Sus scrofa: one gene and its partners. Each later gene encodes a partner of the first gene's protein in a complex. Links are inferred from orthologs where the notes say so. Each region holds a gene or a part of one and is shown in the gene's direction. Other genes may lie near its edges.

The links.
Region 2: the proteins of GNAS (region 1) and ADCY9 are in contact, whole or in part, in a cryo-EM structure (PDB 9U3P), measured with the Homo sapiens proteins. The link is inferred for Sus scrofa from reciprocal best matches to the Homo sapiens genes GNAS and ADCY9. Residues at the interface, in NP_000507.1 of Homo sapiens: Ile207, Glu209, Phe222, Arg228, Arg231, Arg232, Lys233, Trp234, Ile235, Gln236, Phe238, Asn239, Glu268, Leu272, Ser275, Ile276, Asn278, Asn279, Arg280, Trp281; in NP_001107.2 of Homo sapiens: Ala381, Phe382, Arg383, Phe1070, Glu1072, Tyr1075, Glu1076, Glu1080, Cys1081, Arg1083, Val1084, Glu1087, Asp1091, Phe1152, Asn1155, Met1156, Leu1157, Trp1158, Phe1159.
Region 3: the proteins of GNAS (region 1) and GPR161 are in contact, whole or in part, in a cryo-EM structure (PDB 8SMV), measured with the Homo sapiens proteins. The link is inferred for Sus scrofa from reciprocal best matches to the Homo sapiens genes GNAS and GPR161. Residues at the interface, in NP_000507.1 of Homo sapiens: His41, Lys216, Val217, Phe219, Phe376, Cys379, Arg380, Asp381, Ile383, Gln384, Arg385, His387, Leu388, Tyr391, Glu392, Leu393, Leu394; in NP_001254539.1 of Homo sapiens: Arg125, Ala128, Val129, Leu130, Pro132, Met133, Met137, Ile211, Val214, Ala215, Lys218, Ala219, Lys267, Ala268, Thr271, Ile272, Trp327.

What each region holds. Positions count from the first base shown.
Region 1 is NC_010459.5:59,032,570-59,037,183, forward strand, and holds the start of GNAS (guanine nucleotide-binding protein G(s) subunit alpha), read left to right. Parts: upstream 1-1,536; 5' UTR 1,537-1,878; coding exon 1,879-2,017; intron 2,018-2,282; exon of another isoform or gene 2,283-2,350; intron 2,351-4,614. UniProt on the Homo sapiens protein: Guanine nucleotide-binding proteins (G proteins) function as transducers in numerous signaling pathways controlled by G protein-coupled receptors (GPCRs).
Region 2 is NC_010445.4:38,284,481-38,288,577, forward strand, and holds part of ADCY9 (adenylate cyclase type 9), read left to right. Parts: intron 1-2,282; coding exon 2,283-2,442; intron 2,443-3,432; coding exon 3,433-3,581; intron 3,582-4,097. UniProt on the Homo sapiens protein: Adenylyl cyclase that catalyzes the formation of the signaling molecule cAMP in response to activation of G protein-coupled receptors.
Region 3 is NC_010446.5:82,843,136-82,848,007, forward strand, and holds the start of GPR161 (G-protein coupled receptor 161), read left to right. Parts: upstream 1-1,808; 5' UTR 1,809-2,028; intron 2,029-4,872. UniProt on the Homo sapiens protein: Key negative regulator of Shh signaling, which promotes the processing of GLI3 into GLI3R during neural tube development.

The sequences.
Region 1 (4,614 bases):
CAAGCCACCATGCTGAAGATGGCCATGAAGATCAAAGCTCGAATGTCGGGGAGCGGGAGGAAGACGGCGGCGGCTGCGGCCGAGGTTGCTGCCGAAGCTGCGGCGGTGGCTGCAGCGCTGGCCGAGCCCCACGCGCCGCAGAAGAAAGGGGACGCCGAGAAGCCCCCCAAGAAGCCGGCGCGAGACGCGCCCCCCGAGAAAGAGAAGTTCCTCACCGAAAAGGAGCAGCGGAAGATCGAGAAGAAGCTGCTGGAGCAGAAAAGAAAAGAAGAGAAGAAGAAGGAGAAGGAGAGGAAGAAGTTGGAGAAGATGCAGAAGACGAAGAAGAAGAAGAAGAAGGTGCCCGAAGCCCCGGAGGAGGCCCGAGGCCCGGGGGTCGCCGCCGCCGCCGCCGCCGCCGCCGCCGAGGGCGCCGCGGAGGGCGCCGACGGGGGCGGCGTGGACGCCGGCACCGTGGGCATGAGTAGGATCTGGGTCGAGTGGGAAACGGACTCGGACTCGAGCGACGAGGACGACGACGACGACGAGGACGACGACGACGAGGACGACGACGACATCTCCGACGCCTTTCCAGGCTTCAGGGGCACCTCGTGGGGGTCCGGGCTGCTCAAGATCGGCGGGCTGAGCTCCCACCTGCCACTCCTGGCCTTCCTCGTCTTCTCCGTGCGCAGCCCCGCGTGGGTGCTCGACTTCCTGCTGCAGAAGCGCCCGGAGCAGGGCCGCGGCTGCGGCTTCTTTTTCGGGGCGACCTGCTGCTTCCGAATGTTCCTGGGCTGCGCCTTCTTCTCCTTCTTGGGCGGCCGGGCCAAGCGCAGAGGCCGCGGGCGCACCGGGGCCTCGGGTGCCTTCGGCTCGGGCCATGGCGCCCGGCGCCGGGGGCTCGACGAGCGGTTCGTCTAGTCAGACCCCCCGCCCCCTCCCCCGCCACCGCCACCAGACACCACCATCGCTGTGTAGTGTGGAGTTTTATTGAGCATTTGTGTGTGTGTTTGGACACATTTTCCTTTTCGGTTGCTCTGTCCTTTGGTTCGTGCTCGCCTCGCTTTTTCCACACTCCCTGCTCTCTGGCTCTCTCTGTGTCTCTCTCTTCTTTTCGAAAATTTTCCTAAGTCCGGGCTCGGGCTCGCGCTCCCTCCCCTTCCGCCCACCCCGGCCCCTCGGCGGCGCCCGCGGGAGGTGGGGGGGGGCCTCGGCCTCGGGGGCCGCCGGGCGACGCGGCCCGGGGGTGGAGCGTTGGCGTCGTGCGAGGGGTCGTCACCGGCTCGGAGACGCCCCCTCTCCCCCCGCGGCCGGCCCCGTTTGGGGCCCGAGCCAGGGGGGTGAGGGGGCGTCTCCCAGGCCTGTCCCGTCCCGGGCCGGGCGCAGGCGGAGGGACCCCCCTCCCCGGATACCGGGGGGGCGCCTCCCTCCGCCAGCTCCCGCCCTCCCCGCCGCCGCGGCCGCTGCCGCGGCTGCTCCTCATCCCTCCTCCTCCTCCTCCTTCCACCCCCCTCGCCGCCGCCGCCTCCTCCTCCCCCCGCCTCCCCCCGCCCGCCGCGGAGCTTTGGGTCGGGGCGGCGGCGGGGCCCCGGCCGAGGCAATAAGAGCGGCGGCGGCGGCAGCGGCGGCAGCAGCTCCCGCAGCTCCTGCTCTGGTCCGCCTCGCCCCGCGGCGGCCATCAGACCCCTCGGCTTCGGCGCGAGGGGCCGGGAGCCGCGCGCTCCCCTCGGTCAGACCGACACCACCCTCCCCGCGCGCTCCTCCCCGAGGAGCCGAGCCCGCGCCCGGCCCGCCCGCCCGGCGCTGCCCCGGCCCTCTCGGCCCGCGTGAGGCCGCCCGCGCCCGGCCCCGCCGCCGCCGCCGCAGCCCGGCCGCGCCCCGCGCCCCGCCGCCGCCGCCATGGGCTGTCTCGGAAACAGTAAGACCGAGGACCAGCGCAACGAGGAGAAGGCGCAGCGCGAGGCCAACAAAAAGATCGAGAAGCAGCTGCAGAAGGACAAGCAGGTCTACCGGGCCACGCACCGCCTGCTGCTGCTGGGTAAGGGCGGGGCGGGGGGCGCCGGCCCCGGCCCGGCCCGGGGGCCCCTCGGGGCGCCCCGCAGGCTGCGCGCGCCGAGCCCGCCCCCGCCCCGGGCGCGCGCTCCCGAGCCCGCCGCCCGCCCGCGGGTTCAGTCTCTGGGGGGCGAGGCCGGAAGGGGGACCCCGGGGCGCAATTTGGCCGGGCGGGGGCTCAAAACGGGGCGGGGGGCCTTGGCGACGCGGGCGCGGGTCCCCCTCCCCCGGCCCGCCGCTCTCTGTCTCTCTTTCGCCCTCCCCTCGCTCTTTTCTCTGTCTCTTTTTCCGCGAGGCCTACACGACGCCAGGGGTTTGGGTGCGTGTTGGGGAGGGGGAGGGGAGTCCCACAGGGCTCCCGAGACTGCGACAAAAAGAGGGTTTCGGGGACAGGAAATGGGGTGGCGGGCAGAGGGAGGGGGACCCGCCTCCGTGGGGTGTGTGATTTGTTGGGAGAGGGACAGGGAGAAAGAAAGAAAGAAAGGGGCTAGTAGAGGAGGGGGTGACGCGGGGGGGGGCGCCGCAGCGACAGAGGGGGCCTCGCCGAGGGGAGCTGTGGCGGGGGAAGTGGCCGAGGAGAGTGGGGGGGGGGCGGGTGACATCAGCCCCTCGGAAGGGACCGGAGTGGTAAAGGTGGTGCAGCGAGGGGGAGGGGGCGCGGGCGAGTCGTGGCGCCGGACTGGGGGGGGCGGGGAGGAGGGAGCGCGGCGGCCGCTGGGCGCGACTTGGTGCGTTTCGGGCAGGACACACTGTGTGCGCGGAGCAGACGTGTCCCGGGCCGTGGAAGGAAGAGGAGAATCAAATAAAATGAGCCCGAAAAAAAAAAACAAAAAACAAAAAACATGGAGTTAGTACGCTAAGTGCCCAGTGAAGCCAAATGACACGTCATTTTACAGTATGACCTTTTTTTCCCCTTCCAGATATGCAGGCTTTTTGAAAAGCAAAGAAGAGAATTAATTGTAGCAGCTGCTGCCCCCCCCCCGCAGCAGCGCCCCCCCATAAACCATTAACACACACACACACACACACACATTTTCCTGTTAGTCGGCCACATTGAGAGTGCTTTGTTGAAAAAAAAAAAAAAAAGACATTCACAAATCAGAACTGGAAAATGACATTTGTCTGGAAATGGCTTCTTGGTCTGGAAATGGCGTGGTTTTTCTGTCCTTTTCAAGGTGGGAGGGGGGCTTGAGAGCGCTTTAAGGAAAAAGACTTTTCCCAGGTGGAAGGAGATGAGAATACATTAATTAGTTGTTTGTCAAGTGACATTTGGTTGTTTGGATTTGGGTTTTTCTCTTTTGATTGCGGTTTTTCCTCTCTGGCCAAAAAAAAAAAAAAAAAAAAAAAAGGCGTGGTAACTATAAAGAGAGGGCCCTTTCCCCCCTTTTTTCCTCCAAGGTGCTGCTTTGGAAAAAATAAGTAAAAGAAGCATAAGAGAAATTGTTGAAATGACCAGAAGAATCACACAAGCATTAATTAGTATGGAAGTTTTCCACTTCCTTGGTAATTTGGCTGAGTTAATTTGTGAATTTGCTAGGTTAAGACCTAGTTCATGGTCGCATATCAACAAAACAGCTTGATTGTAAAGAATAAAATATAAAAGGGCTGTTTTTTTTTCTTTGTGGTGGAGCAGGGTTGGCTTCTTTTGATGGGTCACGTCTTTGTTCTCCTGGGTCCAGGTTCATCTAAAGCAGAAAATTACTAATTAAGTGAAAATAAGTCTCTTTGGTGTTGATGCATTTGCAATGACAATAATTAAATGATACATATGTTGGAGTGTTGGCAAGACTTCTAAAGGTGGGATTATGCTGTGTGACTATTAATATGCATATGATTTGATTTCAAAGTATAAGCCTAGAAAAGTCTAGAATCTTTCCTAGGCACACTAGCTTGCTAGTTGAATACTAATTTCAACCAAGTGTGATGCTAACGGTACCTTAAATCTCAAACACCTTTGCACAATGTCTCCAGTTAATTTGGGACTGTTGCTCTCCACACACCTTGCATCACTGGGCTAACCTTTCCCCAGGTGTCCTAGCCCTTGTCAAAGTAGATTGACAGCCTCTGGCGCTGGGGTTTACTGCCCAAGCCAGTGTCACACATTTGCACTTTAAAATGGTGATTCTCAGCAAATAATGCCCCCCCTCCCCGAAAAAGAGGAAACCTAATGATGCCCAGAATCCTCTTTTTAATCCATCTTAACTTGACACCATGAAAATCAAGTAAATTACAGCAGCTCAAAAGACCTTGCAGTCGTTTTTTCCTTCCAATTCTAATTTCATAAATGTGGAAACTGAGGCACAAACCTGTTTGTGCCTGTAAAAGAGGTGCTGCACATCTGAGCACTTGTGAAATAGGAAGATTGGAGATTCTGATGAATACTGTGTATTCTCTTCATGGGATCTCTTAATAGGGCCTTTAATATTTTAATTTATGAGAGTTAGGCTCATTAAGATACAGTGTTTGCTTTGAAATCAATGTTTCTGTGGAAACTAATTTTAACTTTTTACAGATATCGATCATAGCCTTGTGAAAAGGCAAGAGAAGGAGGAATGCTTTGCTCTCTGGGCAGTAAAATAAAAC
Region 2 (4,097 bases), on another chromosome or scaffold:
TCCCAAATCAGACACTTAAAAAGAGAAGGTGGGAAGATAGGGGACAGGAAGCAGGGCAGAGAAGGGGTGGGTGTGTAGACAGCCCTCCTGGGCCCAGCGGTGAGACCAGACTGGAGAGGAAAGCACAGGCCTGGGTCTTCGTCTGCTCTCTCAGGCAGTGGTCTCTGAGCTGATATCTAGAGCATTGGCTCAGTGATAACAAGGGAAGCACCCGTTTGAAAGTGGATTGTGGGTCAGAATAGACAGCTGGGCCCCTCTGGGAAGCTGGGCCCTCAGGACCTGCCCAGCCTGCCTTCAGGGTTCAGTGTGGCCCCCCAGGAAGCTCACAGCGTTGCTGCTGGATACAGATACCCAGGCCCCCGCTCACGTGAACACAGACATCACAGCGCCTCTCGTGCCACGGCCTGGGTCCTTGCACTGGGCCCACCCCTCCAGCCCTGCGGCTCTCAGCAGGACAGCCCACACGAGGGAGCAGAGAGAAGTGGGGAGACCGGCCCTGGCCTTGAGCTTCTGCCCCTTCCCGACATCCCAGGACAGGGAACCACAGCTCTGGGTCTGCCCCTGAGGCTTCCTGATGCAAGATCCCTCCCTTTGAAGTGGTCAAGCTGGACACGTGCCCCCTCCTTTCCCGACTGCCCCCCCCAATCCCCTTCAGCTCTTTGCCCAGGGCTGTCCCTGACGGCCAGAGGCCCCACGCCCCCCCCACCTCCCCCAGGCGGAGAGACCTCTAAAGCACATCCCCCCATCTCCCCGGACTCTCCACTGGCTTGGAGCTGCACTGCCCAGGGCAGGTGACCCCACAGCACAGCCCTGCCCTGGGCCTGCCTGCCCTCTGGGCCTTGGCTCCGTGCCCCTGCCAAGGTACCCGGGACCCACGTGCAGTCACTGCCCTCCCTGCCCTGGGTCTCTGTCCCAACTGGGTGGGGAGCTCCATTCCTCTGAGGCAAGGGTGTCTCCATACCTGTTCTGAGAATTGTTTTCAAGGTTGTCCCCTGTTCTTCAGACCCAGTTGGAAAGAATCTGGGCCAAGTCAGCTTGGAGTCCGCAGAGGCCCGTGGGCCATGAGGACCCCGGGCCCAGCTGTGCCTGCAGGTTCCTCTTGCTCTGCAGAGGGCGGGTCGGGGATCCCAGGACCTACCTGTGGAACCAAAGGCTTGGACCCTGGGTGCGTGCGAGAGGCCTTGGCGGGCTTTGTGCCTTTGAGATGAGCATGGCGGACCTCTCTCAGCTCCATTCTCCACCGAGGGCCAGCTCTGGGGAGGGCCTGTGGTGGGTCTCCCTCCCAGGGCGGACCCCCAGCGCCCTCCCCTCCACCTCCCGCTGCTTCCGACCCAGGAATTCCTCCTGCAGAGCAGGGTTTCTCAGTCCCATGCGCTCAGCTCCCCCTTCTTGGGAGAAACAGTCTGCAGTGCCGCCTCACTGCCTGCAGGTGTAGCCCACCTGGACCCACAATTTCAAAGGCAGTCAGTGGAAGGCCACCTCTCCACGTGAAGGCAAAACGGCAAGAAAGCCGCTTAGAATCATGTAGGTAACGCTTCCCCTCCAGTGCGCTGGCCTCCGCCACCTGGGGGCCACACCACAGGCGTCAGCTGTTTGCCCTCATGCGCAGAGAAGGTGACAGCTCCTGGTACAGTGTGTCTGGTGGTACGAGCCCCAGGAGCCTGTGACAGGACTTCTGAGAGGCTGAGCAACCCTTGGTGATGTCCCAGATAAAGCTTGTCTGGTTTAGCCATTTGCTGCGCTCCTGGAAAATTCTGTATGTTCCTGTTTTGTTTGCAAACGAAAGGCAATTAGGCTCTAGGTAGAGGTCAGTTCAGCAGGTTTTCTGTGTCTGGAGGGCGGTGACGTGTGGGGCGCAGGGCAGAGGCTCATGGTCCATCACAGGACAGTGCCCACCCCTAGTCCTGCCTGCTGGAGGCCATGGCACCCTCGACCACCAAGGCAACAAAAAGCCCCCCAAATTCCACACACCTCCTGAGCCACCCACTCGAGACCTCCTGCCCCGGAGGCAGGCAGCAGGGGACCGACATTTCCAGGGCCTGAGAGTGTTGCCGGCCTGGCTCTTACATGCCTTTCAGGCCCACAGAGGCCTCTGCTAGAGCACGTCTTATCAGGACCCAGCAGGTGACCTTAAACTAAGGGGTGATGGGCTGAGAGAGTCCACTGTCCTTGCCCCCCCAGCAGTGACCGAAGCGGGGGCTCTGCCTGCCCCCCGGGCTGGCGCCCATGTCTCCCCGGTGGGCTCAGCCCTCACAGGCGCCCCGCTTCCCCCACGCACACAGGATGGCGTTCTTCCTGGAGGACGTGATGGCTTGTACCAAGCGCCTGCTGGAGTGGATCGCTGGCTGGCTCCCGCACCACTGCATCGGGGCCATCCTGGTGTCCCTCCCCGCCCTCGCCGTCTACTCACACGTCACCTCCAAATTTGAGATGGACATACACGTAAGTAAAGGCCTGGGGACTTGCTGTCTGCGCCCCTCTGGGTCCCTCATCACTGTCTTTTTTAAAGAAGCCTTTCGGCTCAGGTCAGCTGTTTAAACACAGCCCTTACAGAGGTGCGTGCTCTTTGTCGGTTCTCTGAGCTCACAGGACAGAGGAACAGACAGGTGGGGGAGAGGGGCAGCCCAGGGACCCCCTGCGACGCCCTGGGGAGAGTCCCCAGAGCCTGTGTCCCTCCAGCCTCCCCCCGTGTTCCCGAAGTCCCACGTCTGTTCCTTCCTTCCACGTTCGACGAGGCGGCGTGTCCCGCATCTCCAGATGCTTCAGGGCGGTAGCTGCTGTGCATCAGCTGTACATAATTTTTTTTTAAAGAGGAAAAAAAATGATGATAAGTTCGTCTGCAGCTGTACATAATTTTTTTTTAAAGAGGAAAAAAAAATGATGATAAGTTCGTCTGCAGAACTGGCCCAGTCGACTTGCTCCTGGATCGGCTGCTGTTGATTAGGAAAGGAGCTGCCAAGTTAAACCTCATAAAGAGTGATTTCAGGCTGATGGGAAAGATGGCACGTTTGGTACCAAAGAGTGAAGCATGAGTTACTGGGTAGGCTGACCGCATTTGACGCTTTAACTTACACGCACCTGACACGCAGCAGGGTGCCTGAAGGACAGACCTTGGGGAGGTAACTGATGACACGGTGGCCGTTCTCACCCAGGGCCGTCTGCCTCCCCCCCCCCCCGCCCCCAAGGTGACGTGTGCAACTTGCACACGTTGAGAGAGGCATTTTAGTACCAGTGAGGCTTGTCGCCGAGAGCCCTGGGTCATTGGTCTCACAACTGACCGTCTGTCCTGGAAATTGCTGTGTGTTTTGTTGAACAGGAGGACAGGTCATTGGGCCTTGCGTCTGCTTTCGGGGCCCCGGGGGGCGGGGGGGCAGGTGGGTCGGCGTGGCGAGGAAGGGGCTGGGCTGCTGACCCGGGCCGCCCCTGTTGCAGTCCACCGTGTTCACGGGCTCGGCTGTCCTGATCGCCGTGGTGCACTACTGCAACTTCTGCCAGCTCAGCTCCTGGATGAGGTCCTCCCTGGCCACGGTCGTTGGGGCCGGGCCCCTGCTCCTGCTCTACGCCTCCCTCTGCCCCGACAGGTACGTGCACGCGGCCGCACCCTCCACACAGGACCACCTTGCCCATGCTGTTGCGTCTCCTCCCTCCACACCGTTTCTTTTCGTTTTCATTGAGGCGTAGTGGGCAGAGAACACGCTCGTTTCGGTCGCACTACCTACTGGGTTAATACTGTGTACGTTCTGAAGTGATGACCACACTAAGTCCAGTTAACCCCTGTCACCGCAGAAATGTTTGCTTTCTTGTGACGAGAACTCTTAAGAGTTACTCTTGCAGCAACTTTCAAATATACGGTGTTATTATTTTATTACTTATTTATTTCTTTCTGCTTTTTAGGGCCACACTCACAGCATATGGAGGTTCCCAGGCTTGGGGTCAAATCGGAGCTAAAGCCGCCAGCCTACGCCACAGCCACAGCGCAGCATTGCCAGATCTGAGCCGCATCTTCTACCTACACCACAACTCACGGCAAGGCCAGATCCTTAACCCACCGAGTGAGGCCAGGGATCAGACCCACCTCCTCATGGATGCCAGTCGGA
Region 3 (4,872 bases), on another chromosome or scaffold:
TCAGGGGTGGATATGGAGCTGAAAGAGCCATAACCGCTTTTGATCTCCATTCTCTCTATGCCAGTCTATGGCATATATTACTAGACCTTTCTTGAATACCAGCTTTTAAAAGGGTTTAGCTCTCAGGTTCTACAGCATTAGGCAATTTACTTATGTTATCTCATTTCATCTCTTTAACTCCACAGATAGGAAGGTATGAGTATGCCTAATTTATATATGAATAAGCTGAGATTCAGAGAGGTTAAATAACTCCCCCTGGGTCACAAAGCTAAGCCAGTGTCTGAGTCGATGCAAATAAAAAATAAATAAACAGGAATTTCAGAATGAAAGTCTAAAATACTCTTGAGAACAGACTGCTTGAAGCACCTTCAGGCATCTGGCTTATTGGTGACCTAGACTCTGAGAGGAGTTTCAGCTTCCAGTTTTTGACCAAATAAAGCATCTGTCTCATAGGAATATTAAGCCACCCCATTTACTTTTTGTGTCCTCATTATCCCATTTGTCCCTGAAGACAAGCTGGGTTTTACATCAGGTGCTCTAGTAAATTATCCTTCTAAATGGTACCTTAATGGCCTAATAAGAAGAAGAAAGCAACTCCCCCAGTGCCAGTCTGTAGACAAGGGACTAACTAATGCATTTATTAAAGCAGATGGATTTTAGAGGAATTTGAATCCTGGGAAGGCCGTCACTTTTTGCTGGAGTTCGGTAAACTAGGCTTTATAACTTTTTTTTTTCTTTTCTCCTTCCAGCACCCATCTGCACCATATGGAAGTTCCCTGGTTATGGGTCGAATGGGAGCTGCAACTGAGGCCTAGCCACAGCCATGGGTAACACCAGATGCCAGCCACATCTACACCTACCTGCATCTTGGGGCAAGGGTTGGGGGGTGTTCACTGAAAGAGGTCAGGGATTGAACCCGCATCTTCGTAGCCCAATGAGCTACAACCTAAACTCTGATAACGTCTTAAACTGATTCTTTTGCTGCCCTGTTTCTCTCCCTTCCTTTTCTTCCCTCCCTTCCTAAGGCAGTTTTACCGTTCGGTTCAACTTTTTTGTCCCTTTCTTAAGATTGCTACACAGAAAATACAAGAGGCTAGGGATGGCACATAACGTGGGGAGAAGGGACGTGGAAAAAAAGCAATATGAGAAGGAATTGTTCTGTTCTCTGATCTGGCCGCACCCTGATCTGTGTATTGTGATTATTGCTCCCCGGCCTTTAGGTTCAGAGCGAGGGGAGAGTAGCATTGTAAAGATCTGTTTACACCCACCCTGCCACTCGCAAGGGCTCTGGGGTCCGCAAAGGCTGGCTTCGAGGTCGATTCACTGTGATATTGCCAGGGCACAGGACAGTGCCTGGATGAATGAAAGGGGAGCAGGAAAGGCGATGCCAGGAGGAGTCCACGGCGAGATAGGAGCAGGAGAATGGGACTGTGCGGACCCTACAGGAAGAATCCGAAAGTGTGATAGAGAAATGGAAAAGGGGATGTCCCAACGGCTGGAACTGAGACGAGCAACGGGATCGGGGAAGGCCCGAGGAAGGACCAGAAAGGTTTACGGGAGAAAAGTGGTGCGAGCCGAAAGGGTAGGGGCGAGACAAAGAGCAGGAGCTGAGGCCAATCGTGGGAAGAAATGGCAAAGTGGCCGGGAGGGAGGGCAGACGCCAAGGAAGGGGCGTGAGGGATGGGAAGCGGCGGCGCCCGGGAGGGGAGGGGCAGCTGCGCGCGGGGCTCGGGCGGGGCCGAGCGGGGGATTGGGGAGGCCCGCGGGCGTAGGGGCTGCGCCGGGGCGGCGGAGGAGGGGCGGGCGGCGCCGGCGGAGGAGGGGCGCGAGCGCCGCAAAGTTACTTGGCCTGCGCCGGGCCGGGTCCTCGTGCTGGTGGCGGGGCGGCGGGAGGAGCGAAGCGGGGCTCCGCGGGCTGAAACCCGAAACCTCCGGTCCCCGAGCGCGGCCGGGAGGAAGGAAGCAGCGGCCGAGGCGGGGAGGCGGCCCGGCCGGACCCTGAACTGCTGCTGCGGCGGCGGCTCCTCGGTGAGTACCGGCTGGGGCACGGGCGGGGATGGAGTGGGGGTGAGTTCATTGTGTCGGGCTGGAGGGCACGGGGGTGCAGGCCGAGCGGGGTCTCCGCGCCCCCTTCCCCCAGGCCTCCCTGCCCCCACAGCGCTTTTCTTCCCTCCGCGCCCCCTTGGAGGTAAGGGGGATGTCCCCCCCGCCTCAGTCCGTTTTGCTTCGGGGAGCCCTGGCTCTTTGTGGGAAGATCTTGGGGGCGCGCCCCTCCTCTACATCGAGGGGCTTCTGAGAGGCCCTTGCCTCTAGCCTGCCTGGTTTCTCCGGCGCCGCCTGAAGCCCCCTTTCGAGACCCCCAGGAAGGGAGAACATTGGCGCTTCCCCAGAACCCAGCTGATGGGGGTCGTGCCCCCTCGGTCCATGGAGCTTTACGCCCTGCTCCGGGACAGATGTGTGGGGCTAAGCGGCCTCGACCCTCAGCTGCAATCCGTGAGGACCAGGTGAGTTACATCCTCCCAGTCGGGGCTCAGGGCGGTGCTACTGGAGCTGGGCGGAGGATGCACCCAGAAGTCGCCCGGCCCAGCTAGCCGCCGCCAGATGGGCGATTCTCCTCATATCTGCGAGAGGGAGACTCGGTTAGCTTTGGGGGGACTTGGTCTGCTTTCTGCGCCAGAGCTTAACCCCCGTGCAACCTTTTGATAAAGATATGTAGGGTAAGAATGTCTGTTGGATTCTCGGATGCTCTGGGGTGCATCAAAAGGATCTGCTCTCTAGTAACCACACAGCGGTGCGTTGGCATCACTTTATCGCACATCTTTGAGACTATTTTTGTCCGTTAATGTGTCTTTAATTCGTTTTGTGAAGTGCTTTCAAGAGCAGGTCATTTGCTCCTCCTTGTGAAGGTGGTATGGTTTTGGAGGGAAACGGTTTCAGTTCCTTGATGGGGATAATGATAACACCGAAATCATTAGCCTAAATCAGCCAGCGGGGCGTGGGGGTGAGGTGGGCGTCATTGTGCCCTCTCCCCATCCAGCCAGCACGGATTCAGCCTCACCTCTTCTCCTCCTGTGACCTGGACCTGGAAATGAGCTTTGGAGAGTTACTACATTGGGAAGTAGTAGGTGGCTTTCCCTTATAATCCTTCTTACTGCAGCCAGGAAGACAGGTGAGGAAAGGCATTTTCCAGGCCCCCAGAGGAAAGCAAGGAAATGAGAGGGACCTCAGATCGCAGGGATAGGGACTTTTCATCCAACTCTCTTTAACTGAGCTTCAGTCATCCATTTTGGTCACTTCTTCCACAGCACCCCTTTTTTTCCTGTCTCAATTTCACACTCATACTTCTAAAACGCTTCCAAACACTTTTATATACACTTTTAAATTTCATTCATATAACAGCCCTGTGAAGTATTTATAAGCCAGTTTTACAGGTGAGGCAGCTGAGACTCAAAAGGGGAAAAGTACTCTGCTCAGCAAGCAGGGAGCCAAGATTGAACTCAGGTTTTTTGACTTAATGCTTTTCATTCAGGGCTCCATCACACAGGTGGGTCCTTGAACTCAGGACTTTGTCTTGCACTACAGCTCCATCACCATGACAGGAAGAATAGGGATTCTTCCCAAAAAGGCCTGCCTTGCATTTAGAATTGAAATTCATGCTGCAGGTAGTCAAATCATCCTCTTTGTGTTGCAGCCCTGTGCAGTGAGTTTGAGAGATGAGGCTGGACCATGTGATCAGAAGGGCGGGGTTGGTTGGTTGGGTTCAATGGAAGGCAGAATGGGCTAAGCTGAATCTAGAATGTCAGGCAAAGGAGGTACATACAGTTCTGTAATATAAACTTTGCTGCCAGGGCCAGTCAGGAAGCCTGCCTGGGTGCTGGAGGAGAGCAAGCAAGAGAGTTGTGTGGGGGCTGTGTGTAGAGCATGCCTTGGTGGACAAGGTTCTAGCACATTGCTTGATCTGAATTGGGTAGGGGGAGGGGGAAGCTGCAAATTTTTGTGGAAGAAAGCTCCATGTTTTTAAAGTTGGCAACTAATTCAAAACATTTTGCAAAATGTACAGGACAACCAAATTATGTGTGCAGGCTGGTTATGATCTGCAGACTGCCAGCTTGCAACCTTAGGAAGTACTTGCTGTTGTTCCAAGGTGCAATAAAGCATGACTAGAGGGGAGAAGTGGTGTTTTCTGGCTGTTTTTCTTTGAGATCCAAAAACATCCACAGAATTGGAGATACCTATCAGTGCTACCTGGAGTTTGGAGGAAGGATTGACTTTATGACTCAATACTTCATTCATTCAGCCAGTAGTAATCTCATCTGTGATTCTAGTCCTACCCCAAGAGAGTGCTTACAGCTAGTTTTGATCTGTTTCCTTGGCCGATTTATATGCTCAGCTGGGTGGAGGATGGCATTGATGGAAGATATGTTGAGGGAATGCTGGGAGCATTCCCAAGGAAGCTTTGGGAACATTCCACATTTTCAATGTGGCTAGAGATAAAACAATGGAATATAGTAATTTTTTAGAAGTATGAGTTATTACAAAAGATTTTTAAAATATAAAATATATATAGGAAAATAAATTTAAGTTCCTCCACTCCTCTCTCCATCTGAGAGGTAACTACTGTACAGATATTATTTTCCAGGTCTTTTTCAGTGCAGCAATACATTAGGGAGTCCTGCTGTGGCTTAGCAGGTTAAGGACCTCACATTGTCTCTGTGTAATGTGGATTCGATCCATGACCTGGCTCAGTGGGTTAAGGATCTGGATCTGGCATTGCCCCAAGCTGCAGCGTAGGGCACAGATGCAGCTCAGATCTGCTGTTGCCATGGCTTGTGGCATAGGTCTCAGCCGCAGCTCGGTTTAGACCCCTGGCCC